Linked DNA regions of Rattus norvegicus. The protein of the gene in region 3 purifies or fractionates together with the protein of the main gene of each other region. This does not show direct contact. Links are inferred from orthologs where the notes say so. Each region holds a gene or a part of one and is shown on either strand. Other genes may lie near its edges.

The links. Proteins that work in one complex are often made in the same cells at the same time.
Region 1: the proteins of Ripk1 (region 3) and Rnf216 purify together in Homo sapiens (affinity purification with western blotting; 3 studies listed by BioGRID). This does not show direct contact. The link is inferred for Rattus norvegicus from reciprocal best matches to the Homo sapiens genes RIPK1 and RNF216.
Region 2: the proteins of Ripk1 (region 3) and Cyld purify together in Homo sapiens (affinity purification with western blotting; 5 studies listed by BioGRID). This does not show direct contact. The link is inferred for Rattus norvegicus from reciprocal best matches to the Homo sapiens genes RIPK1 and CYLD.
Region 4: the proteins of Ripk1 (region 3) and Tab1 purify together in Homo sapiens (affinity purification with mass spectrometry; 3 studies listed by BioGRID and IntAct, with this or other methods). This does not show direct contact. The link is inferred for Rattus norvegicus from reciprocal best matches to the Homo sapiens genes RIPK1 and TAB1.

Annotation. Positions count from the first base shown.
Region 1 is NC_086030.1:16,590,945-16,596,894, reverse strand, and holds part of Rnf216 (E3 ubiquitin-protein ligase RNF216), read right to left. Parts: intron 5,724-5,950; coding exon 5,621-5,723; intron 4,090-5,620; coding exon 3,925-4,089; intron 1-3,924.
Region 2 is NC_086037.1:34,504,597-34,510,546, forward strand, and holds part of Cyld (ubiquitin carboxyl-terminal hydrolase CYLD), read right to left. Parts: exon of another isoform or gene 5,802-5,950; coding exon of another isoform or gene 5,093-5,801; intron 4,340-5,092; coding exon 4,198-4,339; intron 2,996-4,197; coding exon 2,873-2,995; intron 904-2,872; coding exon 812-903; intron 1-811. UniProt on the Homo sapiens protein: Deubiquitinase that specifically cleaves 'Lys-63'- and linear 'Met-1'-linked polyubiquitin chains and is involved in NF-kappa-B activation and TNF-alpha-induced necroptosis.
Region 3 is NC_086035.1:31,065,864-31,071,813, forward strand, and holds part of Ripk1 (receptor-interacting serine/threonine-protein kinase 1), read right to left. Parts: exon of another isoform or gene 5,950-5,950; intron 5,851-5,949; 5' UTR 5,795-5,850; coding exon 5,631-5,794; intron 4,917-5,630; coding exon 4,760-4,916; intron 2,072-4,759; coding exon 1,934-2,071; intron 801-1,933; exon of another isoform or gene 689-800; intron 159-688; coding exon 1-158. UniProt on the Homo sapiens protein: Serine-threonine kinase which is a key regulator of TNF-mediated apoptosis, necroptosis and inflammatory pathways.
Region 4 is NC_086025.1:113,571,729-113,577,678, reverse strand, and holds part of Tab1 (TGF-beta-activated kinase 1 and MAP3K7-binding protein 1), read right to left. Parts: intron 4,088-5,950; coding exon 3,951-4,087; intron 3,652-3,950; coding exon 3,498-3,651; intron 2,684-3,497; coding exon 2,597-2,683; intron 2,135-2,596; coding exon 1,996-2,134; intron 1,016-1,995; exon of another isoform or gene 886-1,015; intron 1-885. UniProt on the Homo sapiens protein: Key adapter protein that plays an essential role in JNK and NF-kappa-B activation and proinflammatory cytokines production in response to stimulation with TLRs and cytokines.

The DNA.
Region 1 (5,950 bases), on a different chromosome or scaffold from region 3:
TCTCATTCCTTTGCAGGCCCCCTTTCCCCCACAAAATGTGAGCCTAGTCTACTCAACATACCCTCTAGGTAACGCAGGTTTGCCTTCTGCAAACTGTTAGCTCTCAAAATTCCAGCCACTTCTCTAACTTTTTCTGTCCATTCAAATATGTAACATTTAGCTGTCTTATAAACGCTACTCATCAGAGTGGCATCTTATTCCTCCCTTGCAAACCTGGGTTGTTTTTTTTTTTTTTTCCAGTTTTCCTCCCTCTAGCCATGCTACATTCTTCTATGCCTGCTGTGAGGCCCTCTAGAAACAGACTGTATTTTCTTCTTTCAGAGGACATCTCAGTCATGAGAGCATAACTATTTGCTTGCTTCTCTGCTTCACGTTATTTCTTCTACCAAACTGTGAGCCTCTGGAAGAAATGTTGCATAGGTTTCTAGTGGAAGGGCTAGCCCAAGTCAAACCTCAAAAAGGCTAGATTTGCCGACAGTACAGTCTAGAATTGATGCTCCCTTCTTTGACAATGCCGCCTCATACAAATCTGGAGACCCCAAAGCCTGCTAAGGGTGACGCCCATCATGCTTCCTTTCTGCTCTCCTTTGGGTGTGGAATTTCCCCTTTCTTCTTTCTGGAATCTCCAAACCGAATGAACCAATCTTAAAGTCATGACTTAGTGCTCAGGTGTTAGAAAGATGCCTTAGCAGTTAAGAACAATGGCTCTTCTTAGAGGACCAGGATGTGATGTACAGCACCCAGATGCAGGCTTACAACTGACACCTTCTTCTGACCTCCCCAGGCACCAGGCAAGGATGTGGTGCACAGACACATATGTAGGTAAAATACTCATATACTTTTTTTTTTTATTATTAATGATTCAGCCATTAAAGCAGAGGTGCTATTCAGAAGGTGAGCTCAGAGATCCTGAATAGTGGTTCACTGGCTTGGTATTGAAGAGAGGGAGAAGCTCCAGCCTGGAGCCCTAAGCAGATTGTTCTCCATAGCAGTGAGAAAGTCTCACTTAAAATGAACATTCAGTACTTGTCGGGAAACCATTACCTTTTAAAATGTTGTGCTGTTAGTTAAAGGAGTCTCCAAATTCTCACTTGAACAGTTGTATTAGAAACCAGCACTTCTATTACACTTGGCCAAATGCCTAGTTTACAGACCAGATGTAATCAGATTGCCTTGTGACCAGTGTGCACCAGGGCACATAGGTTTCTTTCCTGCCTCTTGGGCTGTGGTGAAAGTATCTTTCTATCAAGGCTCTGCTCTAAGTGACCTTTCTTCTTTCCAGGTCTCTTACTTGCCTTGAGAGCACTTACCACACTGTGTACCCAAACAGACTAAAAGCTCTTTGGAAGAAAGCTAATCTGTGTCCTATTTTCTTTTCTTCCTTCCTTCCTTGTTCAATAGTGCTGTGGATGAACATAGGACTTGTGCAAGGCAGGCCACCAGTTTCCCACTGAGTTCCACTTTTACACTATCTTCCTGCTCCACTGAGGCTCAGATCTTAAGGAGCAGCCTGGTTGGTGCACGCGTAAATAAGGATTAAAAAGACTTGCTAGGAACAACAGGAGCTCAAAAATAATATTCTTTTAGCTGTCTAATCCTTTCCCTGAATTTACTTACATGTATAAATTAAACATCTGCTTGTGACAGTTCTAAAGCAGTCAGTCTGGTAAGGTTTTTAAGACATCTAAAACAAGGGCCAAAGTTGCCCTAAGAGATACCTAGAAGACCTAAAAGGGGAAAAAAAGAAGAAAAAGAAAAACAAGAGAGAGATACGAAGAAGGGGTGTACACCTATATTTTCAGCACTTGGGGGCCAAGGGCTGCTAAGGCAGGAGGATGATGAGATTCAATCTAATGGAGGTTACACAGCAGGACTCTGCCAAGAGAGGGGGGTTGGGGGGGAGAGAATAAGAATGAATGAGTATGAGGAATGGGACACTAGGCATGACGATGCCTTGAAGACCCAGGGACAGAAAGAAAGCTTGTAGAGAGGAGAGGTAAAGGTGGGGACATGCCCCATTCAAGATGACCACTAAAGCCACATGGTGGAAGTCTATGAAGCCTGGGGAAGTGGACACCTAGAGAGAGACTGACTATAGAATAGATTAAAAGATGGCCTGCTCCACTAGAGGGTTTAAATGTTCATTTGATATTCCTGGTGCACGAGCTAGGGCAGGCAATGAAGAAACTGAACAAGATAGTCACATTACAGCAGAATAACCAAAAAAAAAAAAAAGAGAGAGAGAGAGAGAGAGAGAGAAAGAAAATCAAAATTTCAAGCTGGTTGAAGTTCCTAGGCCTGAGCATGCAAACCAAGACAGGTGTCATGCCAATCTTGGATGAATCTAGAAACAATGACGACAAGAACAACAAAGCCTCTGCACAGACAGAGAAGAGTATTTCCTAGAGGAATTTCTGGGAGGAATTAACTGAGACTCCCTGTAGTGGGTAGTGCCTTCCAGAACTGGCCCAAGGGAAAAGCTACTGGCTTTTGCCCTCTTGCCTCTGAACTTCCTGAAGAATGCATCTAGCTTGCTGCCATTCTGAATTTAACTACAAAATCCCCTACACCACTCAAGAAAGAAAGCACCGGAAAAGAGTACATTGTTTACCTGAACAACAAATGTATTCCATTCCCAAAGTAAATCCTGAAAACAGAGATTCTCCAAAAAGTACACGTATAAAAGAGGGTGTGCGAGCCAGGTTTAATTCCAGCACTTCAGAGGTGGTGGCAGGAGAATCTGTTTGAGGCCAGCCTGGCCTACAAGCTAATTTCAGGCAAGCCAGAGCTACACAGTGAGACCGCCCTCTCCAAAAGCAAGCAGGGTGAGGTGGTGTACTCCTTTACTGCCAGCACTGGGGAGGTAAGCAGAGGAAATCAAGACCAGTCAGTCTAAACACTCTCCAGGCTACACAGCAAGACTGTCAGAGAGAGAGATGTGCATGTGTGTAAGGGCTCTTACCACAATGAGAGAACTGAAAACAGGTTTCAAGATGATTGATTAAATATAAGCCTGTGCTCAAACCATGATGGCAAATTCGACAAAGCAGATCAAAGAATTTAGCTGCCTCAGAGAGCAGACACAGCCCCAACCTGCCATGTTAAAACTGCATGCAGGCATTTAAGCCATAGTTGATTTTTTTAGAAGCTTATTTTTATTTTATGTTATGTGTATGGGGGCTCTGCCTACATGCATGTTTGTGCACCATGCACATGCAGTACCCAAAGAGGCCAGAGGAGGGTGCCAGATCCTCTGGGACTGGAATTACAGACATAAAGTTATGCTAGGGCAAGAATGAACTGAGACTGCATGAGCAGCGCCAGTCAGGTCACAGGTTTACCCTGTTATCTAGTTCATCTACAAGAGAGCCTGTCTACACTGCGAGAAACTGAAGCTCAGTGTACAGTGGACATCTGTGCAAATCTCAGGGGGAAGTAAAATGACCCTTATGTTTATCACATGTAAGATCTATAATTTTAGATAAAATGCTGAGGACACGGGAACCAGCTAGTAACACCTAGAGGTACAGATGACACAAACCCGGACTCTTGAAACCTATAGGATCAAGACAAAAGAAAGCAGGAGACACTGAGAACCTAGAGACAAAAGACTTACCAACCAACCAGAAGCCCTTAACTTGGAGCTTGGTACAACTGAACAAACTATGAACCAGGCAGATACGGGTCACACTCCAGGCACCCTGCTCTTCTCAGAACAAATATCATCGCAAAGGGACTTTTGGAGATTGAGGTTTCCTGCTCTAGGTGGCACTTCTCACTCAGTGATTCCTAACCAGCTCCTACTTCCCCTGGCAAACTCTGAAGCTTTCTGCCACCACAGCCACCTCAACCTCTGTAATCTATAGCTCTCCCGTCTCTTCAGGACAATCAAAGAACGAGCCCAAAAGGAAGCCCACGGCCTACCTTTCGGGTGATTGCGTAATGCCCTTTGAGCTCGTGCAGGGCCCACTTGATGTCCTGGCTGCTGAGCATCTTGAAATCAGCCATCAAGAGGTCAGCAGCTTGGATGAAGCAGCGCTGGTCAAGTGGAGTCAATTTGGAATAGTCAAAAAAGTCTATCTTAGGCAACTGAAATGAGACAAAAAGCATAAAGTTAGAGGTGAGATAGCACACTCATCCAAGAGGAGGACGAGGGGGATGACAGAGGCTGGCTCTAAGGCCTCAACAGTGAAGAACATTTGCTGTTTTTCCAGAGAAGCCGGGTTTGGTTCCTACAACACACCTTCGGCAACTCACAGCTACCTAAAACCACAGTTTCAGAGACTACAAGGCTGTCTTCTGGTCCCCACGGACCAGCATGCACACCATGGTGCACACAAACTCATTCCCTACCCAACAAAGAATAACAAATAAGATGGGCACTGACGGCACACATCTTTAATCCCAGCACTCAGGAGACAAAGGCAAGTAGGTCTATCTGAGTTGGGCCAGCCTGGTCTCCAGACCTTGTTCTAAGACAGCCAGGGCTACACGGAGAAACTCCGTTAGAAAAAGCAAAGCAACCAATCAACCAACCAAATCTTTAAAACAGTACATATTACAAAAAAGACTCTTGCCTGGGCTCATAATTACTTTGTAGGGTGACCAGACTAAAACAAAAATGAAGAAAAAGTACATTATCTGTTAATTCTGCACTAGAAGGCTGAGGCAATGAGGCAGGGGTGGGTGTTGGCGACAGTTGTTTTGGTCAGTGCAAAGCCAGCAGAAATTAAACATTAAGAATCATGGGGAGGGGGGGGTGTGGTTGGGGATTTAGCTCACTGGTAGAGCGCTTGCCTAACAAGCACAAGGACCTGGGTTCAGTCCTCAGCTCTAAAGAAAAAAAAAAAAAAAAAAAAAAAGAATCATCTGGGGTGGGGTTTTTTAACCACATAACACACTCAACATTAGTGGTAGATCACAATTATTGACTAAATATTAAAGTTTTGAAACTTTTGACATCTTGATATGAGATTTGGCTAAATGGGTTGAACACAAATCTTTTAAGAATGGCTATCTATGGGCTGGAGGGAAGGCTCAGAGGTTGAGAGCAGTTCCCAGCAACCACATGGTGGCTTCACAACCATCAAAAGTGAGATCTAGCGTCCTCTTCTGGCATGTAGGCACATGTGCAGGCAAAACACCTGTACATAATAAATCTTAAAAAAAGAATGGCTACGTGCATGCTGAAGTATTTGCAGGGAAGTGGTTGTTTTTGCAATTTAGGATGGAAACATTCTAAGGAACAGCAGTAACAGACAGCAGTACAATAGAGTAGTACACCAACAATTCACGTGAAGCATTCAACTTTTATATAAATCCACAATTATAAAGCATTAAGAAAAACAAACTATTAGAACAACACAAATAATACTGGCTAATTCTTTTCCCTTAACTTGCTCTGCAGAATTAAAGGCACAAGAATTTGCTTAATTCTTTATGGGAATGGAAAGATTTCAAAAAGGAGCCTTCAGGGAGTCTGCAAACATTATGAAATGTTATTTTTCCTGCTTGCCTGTAAAGCCCTGTGTTAACAGCACCTCTTGCTGTCAGCAGGATGACCCGGAAAGCAGCAACAGAGCAGAACAGATCCAAGTGGCAAAGCCACAGGAATACTTGCCTTCACATCATCCTGGCTGGCAAGCAGGCTACTGCTGGGGTGGATAAGGATTCGGTCTTCTCTCTTTGGATAATCTGGATTTTCCAGGAGAAAATTACAAAGTCTGCAAAGTAACCCACACAATGTTACATAGTACTTTCCAAAGCCCAGACTTGCCCACTGAATCACAAAATACTTGAGGGGAAAATGTCTCAGAGACACAGGACAACTAAATTATCAAGGAATTAAGATGTACCAAGTTGGGGGGTTGGGGATTTGGCTCAGTGGTAGAGCGCTTGTCTAGCAAGCACAAGGCCCTGGGTTCAGTCCCCAGCTCCGAAAAAAAAAAAA
Region 2 (5,950 bases), on a different chromosome or scaffold from region 3:
ATGAGGTTGGAGCCCAGGGTCAGTCCATGTATAGTCTGACAGACATATTTCTACACTGAACTTAATTTCATTTCTTCAATATTATTTTAATTAAATGGTTAGTCTTTTCCAACTTTCCTAACAAGGTAAAACTTTTACTTACAGGTTATAATAAAATGTTACTTTTTCATTTTGTTGTCATATTGTCCCATTTAGCAAAATATATTCACACACAGGAAATTTAATTTTTGTTTTTTAAGGTGTTTCAGTAGAATAATACCTAAAATAAACCCAATTTTTCCTTCTATTTAAGTAATTATCATGTGTATAATCATCACAGCTGTCTACAAACACTGTTAAAAAACTCAAAGTCAGAAGTTGAATCTGAAAACTTTTTCAGTTGTGAGTAAACAGACACGCTGTCCAGCTATTCCACAGCTCCGTTCAACAAGGAACGTGGGTGGGAAACTGGGAGTGGCCCAGGACATCGCTCACCACAAGGGGACATCTACTGTAGGGCCAGCCAGCGTCTTAGAAAGCTCTTTACTACACATCACAGTCACTTTGGAAGAGAAAAATCATTTACAATACCAGGAGAAACTTGCATGTCACACAGAAAATAATTTTTTCATTTATTTATGCAGTGCTGGAAATCAAACCCAGGGCCTTTTGCATACGTTACCACAGAGATACATATATCCCCAGCCCTCTCAAATAATTCTAATTTAAGATTGATCCTAAAGTAAAACAGACATATTTCAGGAAATAATTTAAATACTTGCTTAGTAACATACTTTCAAGTTATTTTCAACACATAACTTAGAAAAGTCACCTTTTTCCTCAGAGGTAAATCCTGATGCAGCCTCAACTTTTTCAAGTATTTTCCTCAGCTTCATAATCTTTGTGGCACACACATATCCATATCTATGTTGATAAAAATGAATTAACTGACACTGGCACAATGAATTATATGACATATCTTAATAATCAAATACTTTCATACAATTCTAACATGTGAAACAGATCAATAGACTAGGCAGTTATTTTTACAAGCATAATTGAAGGCTTCTTACTAAACTTTGAAAAGTGAAAGACTGAGAACCAGAACTGTTTCCAGATACTATTAAACACCTTAAAAATAACTACCATGCAGTAATACAACTCTAAAATATTTTTAAAGTCTTGGTGAATGGTTTTTAGTAACATTTGCTTATTATTAAAATACTTGTTTTATAAAAGAGAATGACTTACATTTTAGAAAAGTCACTTGAATATGTAGGACAGAGACATGGAAAAAGGAAACTGATGAGATACCAAAAATCTAAGTCTGCAATAAACCAGTCAACATAATTAAGAAGAAATTCTCCTTGTTTGGCTACAGGAGACTATGGGCTTAATGGAGCAAGTCAGCACTGGCTGATCACTAACTGTACCTGCTTTTTAGAGGACTATTCGTTCACTTGTTAACTCTTTCCAATCAGCATACACTACATACCTACGACTCATGAAAATAGGTGTTTGCCACTGGGAATATAAAAGGAGATTAAACAAACAAACAAAAACCACCACCAACAAAAAATCTGCTTCTGGGAAGCTTGTAATAAAGCAATGTATCCAAACAGCAGACGTAAATTTGCAGACATTGGAAATAGATCTCAGATTTCTCAGCTCAACTGATCTTGCCTCAGCCTCTGACCTAGCAAGTGCTGGGATTACAGGTGGATAGTCTACCACCATGTCTGTCTGGATAGTCTACCACTATGTCTGTCTGGATAGTCTACCACCATGTCTGTCTGGATAGTCTACCACCATGTCTGTCTGGATAGTCTACCACCATGTCTGGATAGTCTACCACCATGTCTGGATAGTCTACCACCATGTCTGGGTAGTCTACCACCATGTCTGTCTGGGTAGTCTACCACCATGTCTGTCTGGATAGTCTACCACCATGTCTGGGTAGTCTACCACCATGTCTGGGTAGTCTACCACTATGTCTGGCAAAACGCATCCTGATCTCACAGGCCAGCTGACAATCTCTACTGCAGAAAATCCATTACAGAAAGGATTACAGTGTTTTAAAAAGAAGGAAGACTGTGATAATTCACTTTGTCATTGCTTTGACCTGTACTGGTAATTCCATTTAAATAGTGAAAGAAAAATCTGAGTAGTTAAAATTTGCAGAAGACAAAATAGTTAATGTGAAAATCAAAGCACATATTTATTTTAAAGGGTAAGATGATTACAGAATTTGAGGAAAACAAGTATCCAAATAGAGAAATTTATTCTTTTACTTTCTTAGTTATGTGACACAGTAGGCCATTTGGAATATTCCTTTATTTCTATATTTTGTTATTTTTTAAATATATTAATTTTTATTTTCATTGTTAAGAAAAGTATATCACAAAACTTAAACTAATCATAATTGGCCTTTAAATTGCATAGTTTGTTCTGTCTTCTTGACCCATTTGTTTCATGATCACTGAATGACTGAACTCTTCTTCACTTAAGCATCTTGTGATGTTATCACACATCAATCACCAATGTCAAATATCAAACATGTCTCCTGCACATTCGTAAAGGAGCAGAGGAAGACCTAAATATATTCTTTTAGACAAACACCATATTACTATGATACACCTCATCTGCTCTCAGTGCAGTGTTATCACTAACTTGTAATACATGACACCAAACAATTCACATCGTTTCATAGAATACACCTATTACATACAAGGAGATAAACAGACGCAGAAGACTAAAGGTTTTTAAAAGTCAATAGGTCATAAAAATTAATCTGTTCATCTTTTTTTTTTTTACTATATGAGCACATAGCAAAAAATACTATACAGAAAACAGCAAACAGAACACCAACTAAAGACAAAACGTCTTTCCTTACATTCTCAGAGGATTGACTATCTCTGTCCTCAGTAGCTCTTGAGTCTCACTGTAATACTCTACATCATTCTTCTCTTTGGGTCTAAGTAATACAGTGTCCAGGGCAGAACTAAAAGCAAATAAGCTGCAAAATAAAAGAATATTTTCCTTATGCTATAAATACATTGATATTTGAGAAAGATTCTTAAAGGAGTCGGAAGAGAAAGAGAAAGGAGTATAGGGGAGCAGGGGTGTAAGAATTCATGGCTCAGACAGCAGAGGCCTGTGTTCAGTCATGAGCACTCACAGATCCTGAAGTTCCAGACCATCAATCTGTGTGTGTGTGTGTGTGTGTGTGTGTGTGTGTGTATGTGTGTGTATGTGTGTGTGCATGTGTGTGTGTATGTGTGTGTGCATGTGTGTGCATGTGTGTGTATGTGTGTATGTGTATGTGTGTATGTGTGTGTGCATGTGTGTGTGTATGTGTGTGTGTGTATATGTGTGTGTGTGTGTGTGTGTGTGTGAGTGAGAGAGAGAGAGAGAGAGAGAGAGAGAGAGACATCTAGCTCTCCTGAGACATGTGCTTCTGTAAAATAACCTGTGAGTGACCAGCAGCAGAAATTTACTGGTATGAAAGAATATAATATAACATTTGGCTTAAACAGATTTTTTTATCAGAAATCTAAAGAATATTATAGCAATAGTATAAGATTTGTTTAATCAAAAGTATTCCACCAACAAGACGGCCCATAGCCTTTATTCTGCTGTCTACCTCTGAGGTTCTACCATCCACACTAACCGCCTTGTTCTTGTGACACAGCTTACAGAGCAGAGCTGGCAGAGCCACCAGTTTAACTGGCAGTACACAATTCTTAAGGCCATGGATTCAGGGTTCAACCTTCAGAGCCTAATGTTCCTTGTATTATTCACTCCACTTTAGGGAAAACAACACAAAGGAGGACAACAGTGATCCCGTGGGAAATAACTTCTAACATAACGACTTTCTATGATCACCGGGCTGTCCTAAAGCATGCATACACGGTACCAAGGGTGGACTGCAGCTACTCAGCTCGTTCATGTGCAGTCTACTGCACTGGAGGGAGATGTCCTTGGTGCATCCTTCACAGGGACCAGCGCTCTTACTCACTACTTACTGAAGTATTTTTATATTAGTTTTTTAAATCTTGAAATAAGATATGAAATTCTTTAGCTGCCAAGGAGCAAATCTTGTGATCTTTCCTAACTCCCAGTTTCTCTACTCAAAGGCACCTCCTTTCACACACACACACACTGTATCCCTCCCCCAGGAAGCACCATCTATGCCTACTGCAGAGAACATGAACTTACCAGAATAAAGTTGAGTCTAAGTAACAAGAATTGTAATGGCCCTGGATGCCTTTCTTCTTTCCAATCATTATCTCTAAACCTTCCTTTTCCATTTTAGGTGGCGTATTTTCTTCTACTACTTCACTTAAGTAGCCCCCAAATGCTGAAAAAATAAATGAAAATAATTATTTTAAACCATGATTGTGTGTGTGTGTGTATGTAATGCACTGCATATGTATGTACCATCATTTCAAACATATTGTGACATCCTATGCAAAGTCTTTCAGCCTTTAGTTAAGTTAGTTATCTGGGCATATAAAATGCTATCCCTTTCAACACTGCTTCCTTCATATAGAACATAGAATGTAAGTGAATTAAGCACCTGCCAAATAAATGCTTTGTTACTTGCCCAAAATGTTTCATTTTCAAGTATGAAAACAAAAATTTCCATATTGCTCTTCAACATTTAGAAAAAATGTTTTTCATAAAGATGGTTTCCCTATTTACTCCTGCTTGACTCTGTTGTCCAGAACTGGGAAAGGCCAGCATCGGCTGATGACAAGTGATGAAGAGTCATCCTCCATCAAGCTGTGTCCCCAGACTTTATCAGATCTTCATAGGCTACCCTGAATGAGGTGCTTAATAAGATGGTGAGCGGGGAGTTAATACTAAGGACCACATTTTCATTTCTACTACCCATATGGCCAGAAATTAAATGTCTATAATCTCTACAAGAGAACAAAAACAAAACACTACTTTTCCTTCTTTAGATCCTAAACACTTTTCCTGACTAACTTTTTTTTTTCACAAATAGGACTTTTTATTTGTCACTATTAAAAATCTGGAGTTTAAACTGATTCCTGGACTGGTGGTTCATAGCCATCAGCTCGTTCAACTTTAGCACTTGTCTCCTCACCAGTTGTTTTGTGAGAACCACCGCCTTCACCATGGAGCTCCATGGGTTTTCCCAATTCAAACTTGGGTTTCTTCAGCATTTTGACTTTCCTAACAAAGACGTCATGGAGAGGATGGATGGACTGGCAAACCTTCTCTATGTCTTTCCCAATGCTGCCTAAAATCAGTTTATTAACTACTTCCTTCAAGTCATTTGTCTGCACTTCTCGGGTCATGATTTCCATCATCTTCTTCTGGATCTGGTAGACCTGCGAATAGGATATCTTTCTAATCTGGTTGTTGTACTTTTTAGTGAAACCAACACAGAACAGTCGGAGCAAATACCCATCGGTCGTCTTGACATCAACAAGAGCTTCAATCATGGTGGTCTGCCACTTTTTGACCACGGAACACATTCTGTCCCGGGTAAGATCCATGCCATGGAAGTTCTTGCCCTGAACGTCCTCAGTATTTAGCTTGACTTTTCTAAATGAATCTTCGTCATTCTGTAGATCGGCAAGTCTCCCTTCAAACACACGGCCCTCGAGGCCATCAGGTGCAGTTTTGGCTCCTTGAGTCCTCGTGACTAGTGTTTTCCGGATGCTCCTAATATTGAACATTGCTGGAGCTTTCACATCATACCAGTCTTTCTTAGAGAATGGATCAACCACTTTCTTCTTAGCTCCCTTCTTGCCACCTTTCGTCGGGTGCTGGTTCTTCCTAACTGCCATGGTGCCAAAAGGGCGGAAGTACAACTCGCGCGAGAACTGAACTTACGTTACGTTACGTTACATTACGTTACGTTACCGGGCAGGGAGCGCTGTCTACGTCAACACTTTTTTTTTAATGTATCTCCTCTTAGGACAACTTCTTATGCACC
Region 3 (5,950 bases):
GTGGGCTTTGTGTTGATGTCAGTCAGGTGTTCCGGTGCCATGTAGTAGAGGGTGCCTCCGTTCTTCTTGGTGACGCTGCTGGCCTCCCTCTGCTTGTTGTGTTCCTCCTTAGTCAGTTTGCTCCATGTCTTAAAGGAAGCCACACCAAGATCGGCTATCTGGAAGAGAAGAGGGGCCAACGGAACTCATCACGAAGGCTTATGAGTAAATCAAACTGGATTTTCATGAATTCAAGTCTGGGGCTTATCCAGTACATGTGTGGCACAATCAATTTTTCAGTTGCTGCATGGGCCTATCTAGAATAGTTACCTCTCAATAGACTCTCAGAATGTTCATGTAAAATGCTAGCATATCAATTATTTTTTAAAGTTTCTTTTAAACATTTATTTATTTATTTATTTTTATTTATTTTGAGGGGGCGCATATTTCAAGATGTGTGTGTGAGTCAGAAGACAACTTGCAGAAGTCCTTTCGCTCCATACTGGGATTGAACTTGGGTCTTCAAGCCCAGCAGCAAAGTATCTTTACTAGCTGAGCTATCTTGCTGGGGCCTTGGCATCTCAATTCTTAACCAATAACACTGGGGCAAGACAACAAAACTGTGTTTGTGCTAATTTCTCATTTACTTTGCATATTTTTTTTTTTTGTTTTGGTCTTTTCTGGGGAAGACAGAGACTGGTTACCACACCTTTCATTTGCCCAATAACATCCAGAGGACCGTGGTTGTTTCTCTGAGCATCCCAAAGCCACCCTGAGGGTGGGACTGTTGCTGCTACTTGTTTTGTGTTGGCAGTTTGCACCTAAGAGAAGACAGGATGGAGAGAAGGAAATCGAAACACACATAAAGGCAGAGAAAAAGATAACCAAGTCAGACGCAGCAAAGAATAAAGTGGCAAGGGGAAATGGCAGAGGAGGACAGTTACGGGACAATCCAAGGAGGTGGTCCTCTTCTGCCTCTAAGAAGCATTTAGGGAGGAGCTAGATAGAGCATGTGCCTACATGAAATGCACAGATTTTAACCCAGAACACAAAGGATAAGTTCTTAATTGAAAGAAAAAAAGACGTTGGGATTAACAGCCGTCTGAGACATGAATGGCGTCTGATGCGGATCTTGTAGGCAGGTCCTGGTTCTTCCCCAGTGCTAAATGTTTTCAGGATCTTTTTGTTTCTTGTTGGTGTAGGTGTGGGGATGAAACCCAGAACTCTGGCCCTGAGCTATCTGGTCCCCCTTCAGGTCTCCAGCTTGGATTCTAGCTACCAAGACTAATTATGTGTGCTGTTGCTTCCTCAGTTACATGTAGCTCCTGAATAGGCTGCATTTTCCTTATTACCTCTGCTATGATAAAAAGAATTTTCAAAAGTAAATTGACTCCTTAAATGAAAATAGACATAAACAGGATGTCAAAGCAGAAGTCTTTGTCTTGGAGAGCCAGGACTGAGTCTAGGACCAAAGATGTGCGAGACTAGTTTTCTCCACTGAACTATGCCCCTTGGTCCACAAAGTGGAGGATTCTGAGGCCAAAATGGTTGACTTACTACTGCTTTTAAGCCTTTTCTGAATTTTAAGAATAGTCTCCACACACTTCTATACTCCCTTTCTCTCCAGGGTGGAGAAGTCTCAGTCACAAGATTTCCTGGGAAAGATGATGAGCAGATAGCCCATTCCAGAGGGAAGGTAGCAACCCTTCAGTGTTTCCATTTCCAAATCTAATCAGAGGGAAACAAAACCCAGGAACCAGGGATGAGATCTTTTTCATCGTATCCTTCAATCCAGTCAAGCCCACACCTTGTACTATGCTAGCCTTGCAAGCAGCACCGTGCTCCGTGCTGAGCTAGGTCCTCTTTTATCATGATCAACTATAGCAATGGGTTTCTAGTGGAAAATCAGACTACAATCACTCAGCCTTCTCAACGTGTACAGACTGTGGATTACCTTAATGTGAAAGTCACGGTCAACGAGGATATTTTCAGGCTTCAGGTCCTTGTGTATTACACCTTCGTCATGTAAGTAGTGCATGCCTTCTATGATCTCCACGATTATCCTTCCTTTCACAGAAAGTGGGACACTTTCCTAATGAAATGACACATTAGGTCTATGAAGTAATGGAGAGGTAATCTAACAGGCAAGAACAACTTCTCCATCCATGCCGATGGGATGAGGGCCCAAGGTTAGTGTTAGCAGGTTCCTCCCACCATGTGGTCCATAGCACTGCTGTCCCTGGGAAACAAGCTCCTTCAAGAAAGACCCTACCCCAGGGCCTACAGGATAGCCAAATACTACTGCTATATTTTGTTTAGTGAAAAAATAGAAATAAATTCTGTGCCAATCTACATGCATATAAAAATACCATAAGAAGAAGCCATGAATTTGAGAGAAAGCAATTGAGAGGGGTACATGGGAGGTGTTGGAGGGAGGAAAGGGAAGGAGAAAATGATGAAATATATTTAAAAAAATAAGTAAATACTTTATAATAGAATAACCTGGGACTACTTGGTATTCTATGACATAATTTAGTACATTATGTAATAAAAACTCATGTTTAAAAAACCATGAAGCCAAATCCCTTTAAACAATGACATTTATTATTTTTGTTACTATTACTTCTAATTCTCCTGCTATTCCAAAGATTGCCTCCGTATAGCTAAAGTAATGTTTAGAATATCTGAATAAACAGCAAACCTACAAACATTTCCACGGCATACTGTTGTGAAATGACACTGGCATTTACATAGGAATAACAACATCAGGGAAATGGGAATGTGAAATGGCACAGAGAGAAATGGAATTCGGGGAAGCATGTTAACAGTGCCAACTACCACATAAGCATCTGGGCCATATGCATGATACCATGTAGTATTTATGTGGTGACCTGGCAGATCTTTGTAGAATCTTAGGTCACTCTTAAAATTATACTCTAATTATATCAACCTCAATATATTATTTAAGAAATGCATGTTTCTGTTTTAGTAGTATCATTTCAGTTTTTCTCAATACTAAGACCAGCTTACAGAATGAATGACTCTTAAAAACTTTTAAGTGTCTGTTAATGGTTTACAGGTGAAAAGGTCAAGGGGGTGGAGCTTAGATTCCCAAGTCATACCAAACCACAGCCTTCACACCATATTTATCCACGCTGAAACTGAACCACAGCATCAGCGCTTGACTTCCACAGTATAAAAGAGAGCAGAAGGCTGGATCTGGTGGTACACACCTGTCGTCCCAGATACTAAGGAGGCTGAGGCAAAAGGATCTAAACGTTTGAGAGCAGCATTCTCATTGCCCTTGCTTGCAAAAATTAATTGATTAATTAAAAACAGCAGCAGAGACTGTTCCTGTCTTCATCTATATATGTTCAGGAAAGCCTTATTAGGAGGTATGATTGTTCCCTACCTAACCTCTTCCTGGTTCTCTTGGGTCCTTGACTCTTCTTGTCCCTATCTTGTGAAGCTTATTATTGGCTGACCCACCGAAGCCTTTCCTCACAGATGACTCATCTCTGGATCTAAATGCCTACTTCTGTCACATGGCTAATCTTACCTTACAATGATACACATGCTTACAATGCCATGTGTATCATCTTTTATCCTTCCCACCATGTTTGCGTTTCTGAGATCTGCTGATTTGACATTTGTAAGGTGTGGGGAGATGGAGGGAGGGGAAATATTTGGTACAAAGGCAGCTAAATGTTTCTGTCCCTTACATGCAATCTGTGCTCTGGCGAAAGTTGGTGACTGGCAGTTCTACAAACTGTCATCCCCTAATTCCTTCCCACATGTCATCTCTGTGCCTGGAACGTTTGCTCCTTAGTTATGTGCTTCAACTTGTCCTTCGGGAATCCTGTCCCACTTAGCTCAGATTGGACGGGGCACCTCGCCCGTGTTCTGCAGCAGGCAACTGTGTGCCTATCAGACACCATAACATCAGATGCTCCATTGCTTCTTCTGCGTCTTGTGCTTGCCGGTGTTGTATCAGCTATGGGCTCCTGAAGAACTAGCACAAGACTCAGATCCTAATCCATACAGGAACTTTAAACAATTACCTAGTTTTCGTAATTCCTCTTCTCCCTGATTTTAAATTTTATATTGCTGAGTTTTATATTCTAGATTTAATCTAGAGCAACTTCTTAAATGGTCTAAGATTACAATTGCGAATACCCCTCTTTCTCTTATAGTCAGTGACAGTGCACGTGCTTTTGTAAATTACTACCTGTCATCTGCAACATAGACATTTTCATCAATGAACTCAAATTTGTTATCATTTACACGCATCTCTGTCAGACCGGGTATTACTGAAAGAAGGTCCGTCTGCCAACTGTGGATTGGAGAAAGACTAGGTGGGTCAGCAAAGAGGGAACCTCAAGTGGTAATACAGACATAAATGGGGCCTGAGTGGGGGAGACGATCCCCAAGGCTGGAAGAGGCACAGAAATCCAAATGAAGCCAACTGCGGTGGCAAACACCTTTAATCCTAGCATTGAGGAGGCAGAGGTAGGCGGAATTCTGTGAGTTCAAGGCCAGCCTGTGGTCTATATATCGAGTTGCAGAAATCAACAATAACAAAAACTCCAACAAACAAACAAACAAATGAACGAACAAAAGTAAGGAAAGAAAGCAAGCCAGAAAGCAAGCGAGCGAGCAAGCAAGCAAGCAAAGATATCCAAACCACAAACCCAAATTTCCAACCGGAAAGCTACAAACGAAACCCCAAGAGCAGCTAGCACTTGACACTTTAGCACTGACTGCCTTAGGTGCCACCTACCTTGGTCTTCAGCACGTGCATCAGGTTGCCCTGCTCCATGTACTCCATCACCAGCGAGTAATTCCCCTCCTCTATGATGATGCCCAGTAGCTTCACCACTCGATCGTGTCTCAGTCTGTGCATCATCTTCCCCTCTTCCAAGAGAGCCTCATTGTACCTGTGGGCAGGAGAGCAGCTAGGCTGAGCAGGGCTGAGCAGGGCAGGGCAAACCCTTCTACCCAGGTGCCTAAGAAGCTCCAGTGTCCCTGCAGTGCGAGCCATATTGCAAACATTTGTCACAATCAGGTCTGTTCCGGTCTCCTCCAGGCAGACAGGTCCTAGGGGGGCAGGGAGGCTTCTCTTCATCTAAACCCCTCCCTCCTGCCTTGTCTTAGGAACTGGAAGCCGGGCACTCATGGCAGCAAATCAATTAATGAAAAATTCAGCGCTGGTCTGGCCTGATGGAGACTGAACTGGGAAACACAATAAGACAGGCATCCCTCTCAAACCAGCCTGAGGAGGAGAGAAGCCCTCCACCTTTACAGCCTCTCACAGGGTGGCTGGGATTTCCCATGATGGGACTGGCCTCTTTTTGTACCAGGCTTCAGTGTCTGTATCCACGGCTCTGACTTCTTCTCATGGCCTCCCTTACTATCCAGCTTCCTGTCTTCAGGGATGCCTTTCCCACACATTCCCATCAAGCACTAATATCTTTTTAATTAACTCCAAAGTCCTCATCCAACATAATAATAAGAGTTATGGGCACCCTTCATCAAGCCAGTGTGCCAAGTCTCCCCGCAGGTCAGCCTCATTTAAAACTTTATGTGTTTAGCCACAGAGTTGGAGACAACTACCTTCTGCAGTCAGAAACCCATTTCTGCTCCCGACTCACTCAGCGCGGTTGGGTCCCGTGTATACTTTTTTCAGGATGACAAATCCATGGGTTCTGTGGAAACACAAGGACACCTTCCCGAAGCCTCCGCTGTCCAGGTCTTTCCTCTCCAGCAGGTCATCGGATGCCATTTTAATATTGTCCAAGGACATGTCTGGCTGCATCTTGAACGCTCAGAATCTGCAGCCCACCACCTTTGGTTCTTGCTTAGGGCTGTGTCCTATAAAGCAATCAGAGAGGATATTTCAGGGCAAAAAGACCACGATTTAAAAAACCAAAACCAAAAATACTGCATGTTGTCAGGGATAGCGGTACATGCC
Region 4 (5,950 bases), on a different chromosome or scaffold from region 3:
TGTCTGTGGTGGCTTCAAAACAACTTATGAATACGGGGCTCTGGATGAAGCCAGACTGCACAGGACAGGAAGTGTTGGGGCTAGAGTGGGGCATGGAGATGCACTAACTACTTATCAGCTGTTTTATGGTTTGCAAGTTGATCCCTAAGAAAATTTTAAGAGGAGGAAGGGAGTCAGGGACACCATGAGTGACAGCTACTGAGTCCTTACAGTGACATGTATCACACACGTTCTTGGGTCCCCTGATGGCCCCTCCTTTGGTCTTAAATACAAATGTCCCCATCATCCAGCTTCCTGCTGTTTTTAAGAATTCAGAGCAGGTCTTCACTGCAAGCAAATTGGCCTTCTAAAGAAGCAGCCATGGGGCTGCAGATACTGGGCCCACAGATAAACTAGGCAAACATGGGATGTTGAACACGCAGGGCTGTCTCTTCAAAGGGAGAGTTACATAAGCTGCTTTTCACCCACAGGCCTGGGAACAGAGGTGTTAACAGCCTAGGTGACCTCTGTGCTATCTGTATGACCAAGATCACACCAGATCCTCCTGTAAGGCCTGAAGATCTTAACACATGTACTTATCTATTTATAGAAGTGACGTGTACTTTGAAGGGTTTCACTGTGTATGGTGCAGGCCTTTAAACCCAGCACTCAGGAGGCAGTGGGAGGGATCTCTGCAACTTCATGGCCAGCCTGATCGAAAGAGTGAGTTCCTAGACAGGCAGAGCTATGGAGAGAAACCCTGTCTCAAAAAAGGAAAGGAGGGGGTTGGGGATTTAGCTCAGTGGTAGAGCGCTTGCCTAGGAAGCGCAAGGCCCTGGGTTCGGTCCCCAGCTCCGGAAAAAAAAAAAAAAGAACCAAAAAAAAAAAAAAAAAAAAGGGAAAGGAATCCATGTATCTTTGGGACCTGCCGCCTGTGGCAGTTTCCCTTCCTAGCCATGGAAGAGCATGTTCTTGTTATTGGCAAAGCTGTCACCATTTCATTGGTACTACATTCTGAGTTAAGCAAGTAACATTCTAAGAAGAAAAACATAAGAAAAAAAGGAAAAAAAAAAAGGAAAGGAAAGGAAAAGAAGTAAGAGTCTTGATGTAATTATGTCTTATGGCACCCATAAAACTATGTGATACCTGGAACTTATTCCAAATTGTACTCTGACTAAAATAAACTGCCTACTGTCTGTCAGACTCTAGCCCACTGGGTCTCAACCTTCCTAATGCTCCTACTCTTTAACACAGTTCCTCTGTGGTGACCCCCAACCATAAAAGTATTTTTGTTGCTACCTCATAACTGTGATTTTGCGACTGTTATGAGTCATAATATAAACATCCATGTTGGGGTTGAGGATTTAGCTCAGTGATAGAGCGCTTGTCTAGCAAGCGCAAGGCCCTGGGTTTAGTCCCCAGCTCCGAAAAAAAGAAAAGAAAAAAACAAAACAAAACAAAAAAACATCCATGTTTTCCGATGGTCTTAGGTGACCCCTGTGAAAAGGTCATTTGACCCCCAAAGGGGTTGAGAACTGCTGCTCTAAATGTCTGAATCAACAGCAGCTACTAAATCATGTTGAGTTGGATTTTCTTCTTGCCTCACATGCCAGCCCTACTGTATGCAGAGACACACACCCCCTCCCCCAGATGGCCCAGCAGTTAAGAGCACTGGCTGCTCCTCCAGAGGACACAGTTCTATTCCCAGGACCCATGTGGTGGCCCACAACAGTCTGAACTCCAGTACCAGGGAGTCAGATGCCTCTGCAAGCACCAGGCACACATGTGGTAGAGACAATACGTGTAGGTAAAACACCTATACACCTAAAATAATTTAAAGACAAAAGGACAGACACAACTAACTCATCACGAGCCAGGACACCCACCTGCCTACTGCTGTCCTTCTACCTGGATTGACATAGACAACAGAATGAGGAACAGGCCCAAGTCACCCTGGGAAGCTTGGGGTACGCACAGACAGAAAGCAGACTGGTATGGGGCAGGTTGGTAGCTCACCAACATTGGCAACGTAGAGCTTGTTGTTGAGAAGGACCGCCACAACAGCCATGGCCCCTCCCGAGATCTCCTTCTCCAGTGCCTTGAGTCTCTCCAGGATCTTCTGATACTGAGGTAGCAGCTGGTGTTGGGGCACACCCTGCAAACCATCATCAAGAGATCAGAGCATCATGGGGGCTTGAGTACCACCTTACCATCCTCTCTTTCCCTTTAGATAAAGTATACAAGGCCCTTGAGCAGCCAAGACAGACAGATGACCATAGGTGTGGCCAGGCTGGATACCTGTAGGCTGCCCTGGGAAGGTCACTGTTGCTTTAACTAGGGGCAGCCTGAAGGTGACCCTGGCTCTGGACTGAACCAGATCACAGAACCTGGACAGGCCTTTCCTTCCACCTATCCTGCCATCTAAGGATGAGCCTCCGAGAAAAGCTGCCCACTGCTGGGCTGGAGTCTCTACAGGGACATACCCAGTGCCACCCCAGCCTGCCCATCAGGATGCTGCCTCATGATTCCTGCTGCAGGCCTTACTGTGCCTGTGGGTGGCAAGTGATACAGAGGTGAGTGCTGGCACCCAGCAGTACTAGTACAGACAGTCGGTTACCTCCGGCAGCTGGGACTGGAGGCTTGCTTTCTCAGCCAAGGCATCATCGATAGACTCCAGGAAGCTCCTCTCCACCACATCGAAGGCCTGAAGAGACACAGGGCAAGGCAAGGGTTGGCTCAAATAACGCCATCACCTCCTGTTAAGATGTCCCTATGGAGAGTAACAGATCCATGGCATTCATGGATGGCCTCGTGTGACAGGTGACATATCATTTCTGCCTCATATGTGTGCCTTTCTGTCCACTGTTTGACAAAGACCTTTACCTGTGGGACGGGAAAAGGTTGCTACTTATGCAGCCTGCAAGGAATGAGAGAGAAAGGGCCAGGCCCTGCGCTCAAGAGTGTTGGGTGTGAACAGCAGTGCTCCACATTTGGGTTCATGTGAAGTGAGACAGTCCAGGAGTGCTTGGTCACTGAGTCTGTAGGGGCATGACAACCTCGGGCCTTGATCAGGACTGGCTGGACACTGGTGAAGCAGAAAGCTTCCTCCTGGTCTAGCCTCTGCAGAGCTCCAGTCTAGAAGCACTGAGACCACAGAGAACAGAAAAAATCTAGGGCCAATTTCTCAAAGACCAAGAAACCTTCCTAGGTAGAAGAAATAAAGAAATCTCAAACAAAGGTATCTATCTCTACACAGAGCCTCTGTTCCCAGTGCTGCCTTCTCCCAAGTCAGTCCTGCTACCAATGGAAAAGCTGCTGCTCCCTGCCTGTCCTGGACTCCTTGTGGCCAGGAGCCCCTGCCACCATGAAGTGTACCCAGAAATGATCTTGGTAGGGGATGAAGAAGCAGGCAGTCTTCAGATCAGCCTGTCTACACTTACAGATGCAGGGCCCAAGTTCCAGGGAGTGGAGGACACACGAGTCAGTCAGGCTGTTGTCACCTAGCCCAATCCTCTTACCTGCAGCAGGACCCGTCGCACATCAGCATCTGTGTGTTCGGTGTTGAGCTGGCCCAGCAGGAGCTCTGCAGAGAGTCTCTGCGCCACAAAGTTGGTCACGCGGTTGCCATCATAGCCATTGAAGACCCCATACAGGAAGCAGTTGTTTTCACTTCTAGCAGAGGGAGGGTGGAGGGGGAGGGCTGAAACCAGGGGCATGCAGGTGGTAGAGGAAGAAGGAAAGGAATTGGGGAGGGACTAAAGACAGGAAAGGTTTCAGGCACACATCTGGGACCCTGCACTGGGTCCATCATCTCACCAGGAATCTTCCCTGCCAGCCTCGTCCACCCCTGTCCCACAGCAGTCGACACTTCCCATGGGCCCTACTGCACAGGCAAGCCTCATACATGCAGGTAGCAGGACAGTATCTTCTTGCTCATGAACTGACTTCCTCTGCTCAGCCCACCCACCTACCTGAACTTGAGCCAGTTGTCCTCCGGAGGGTGACTCTCAGTGCCCTTGCCATCAGCAGAGTAGCTACGGTTGGAAGCTGAACCAACGCCGGAGAAGTGACAGAGTGGCAGGTCATCTGTCCAGCTTGGCTGCTGCTCCTGGGAAGCATCAGGAAACTGAAAACCACCTTCTTCCCTCAGATCCCACTGCGCCTGCTTCTACAACAGGGGCAAAGGCAGGCCTGCAGGCCACAAGATGGTTACGTCTGGGAAATAATGTGTGTCTGAAGGGACACTGACAAAAGTCTTTCCTGTTTTTATGATGCATCCACAAACTGGCTCCCTGGGGAACCTGAAAACTACGGCATTCCCAAGTGGGGACTTGGCTACTTAGAAAAGAGAGCAAGCGACGCTACTGTAACACACGAATAAGCCCAACTTACAGGAAACTTCTCCACAGAGGTCCTCATTGGACAGCATAAAGGAATCTTTGGGTGCTGCTTCCAACTGTGGACTGCATGCCCCACCACACAATGCCTGACCCGTGTGCAGCTTGCGCTGTCTGTGCTATAAACAGCTTCCCGCACACGTTCTCAGGAAGGTAGCTTCGCCCTGGCCTTCAGAAACTCCAGCCTGCGAGTCAGTCTGTCATACTCCCCAGTTGGAGGCCTTCACTGTGTCCTGTCTCCTTCAAGCTGCAGCTTGAAGTCCTGTGCACCCCCCTTTTTTTGTTGGGCAAGCTTTCTGGGACTGTCAACTCGGGGTCACTGCCTTGTGTATTCATACCGCACCCTGATTCCATCTCTCTTACCGCACTCACCCTTTCCCATCAGATTTGGATCTCAAACCAGTATGTTTTGCTTAATCACTGCTGAGATTTACACACACCTATGCATGCGGACATGCACACTCACACACGTCCAAGTCTTGGCTTAAATACCCCAATTCTTCTTAATTTTGTAAGGTTCCTGGAGGCGGCCCCTAGGCATCAACATTTTCTCTTGGAACGTAAGCCTTATGTAAGCATGATGCAGTGATAAGATACAGTGCAATGGATGTCCTCCTGGCTGCACGACTCAGGACTATCTGATCCCATAGCCGCTGGGGCAGGCTCCTTCTCAGCACGTCATGCTCATAGGCATTAAACATGGTAAGACCCCACTTCTTTGAGATGTAGATCTTCTGGCAGACAGGGAAGCTGGTCTTGTGTGGGGCTTCAATTACATGTTTTCTATCCCGTATCTTGGGAAGGATGAACCTGAGGACCCAGCCAGTGTCCTGGAGGTTCCCCAAAGCACCTTGCATATGCAAGCCTAGCCTGTGAGAACATAGTATCAAAGACAAAACACCCACTGGGAGGCCATCTCAAATGTCCTGCAAGCGCCTGTTCAAGACGGGTGTCAGAGCTGTATGTGGTACACATACATACGTGCAGGCAAAAACACATGGATAAAGTAAAAGTACTCTGAAAAGAAGGAGAAGTTGGAAAGTTTTATTGAAATATTAAACAATTATGACCACCAGCTGCAACTTCTTACAAGTTAACAGTAATGATCTTTAAAAAAAAAAAAAAAAAAAAAAAAAAGATGTAAAACAGCCGGGTGGCGGTGGCAGTGGCGGCACTCGCCTTTAATCCCAGCCCTTGGGAGGGAGAGGCAGGTGGAGCTGAGTTCCAGACAGCCAGGGCTACACAGAGACACCGTCCTGAAAAAAAAAAATAGGTGGGGGAGCATAACACCACTGCAGCTGGCTGCTCCAATCAGCTATGGAAAGTCTCCGGCTACCTTCTGTTGCAAATTTCATCTGCTTATTTACATGGCAATGAAAGTCGCTAGATAGACATGCCTCCCAATTATAATTGCTTTTATGCCACACACATCGATTTCAAAGCTTTTGGAGCTACTACTGCAGGGTGTAGGAGTTTTATTTTGAATGTTCATGTAGTAAAATCGATGTCTTTGGGTATGCAATCATGCTGGTACCTTCACAGGACACAGAGCGCCCTGCTGAAGTCCTTGGGAG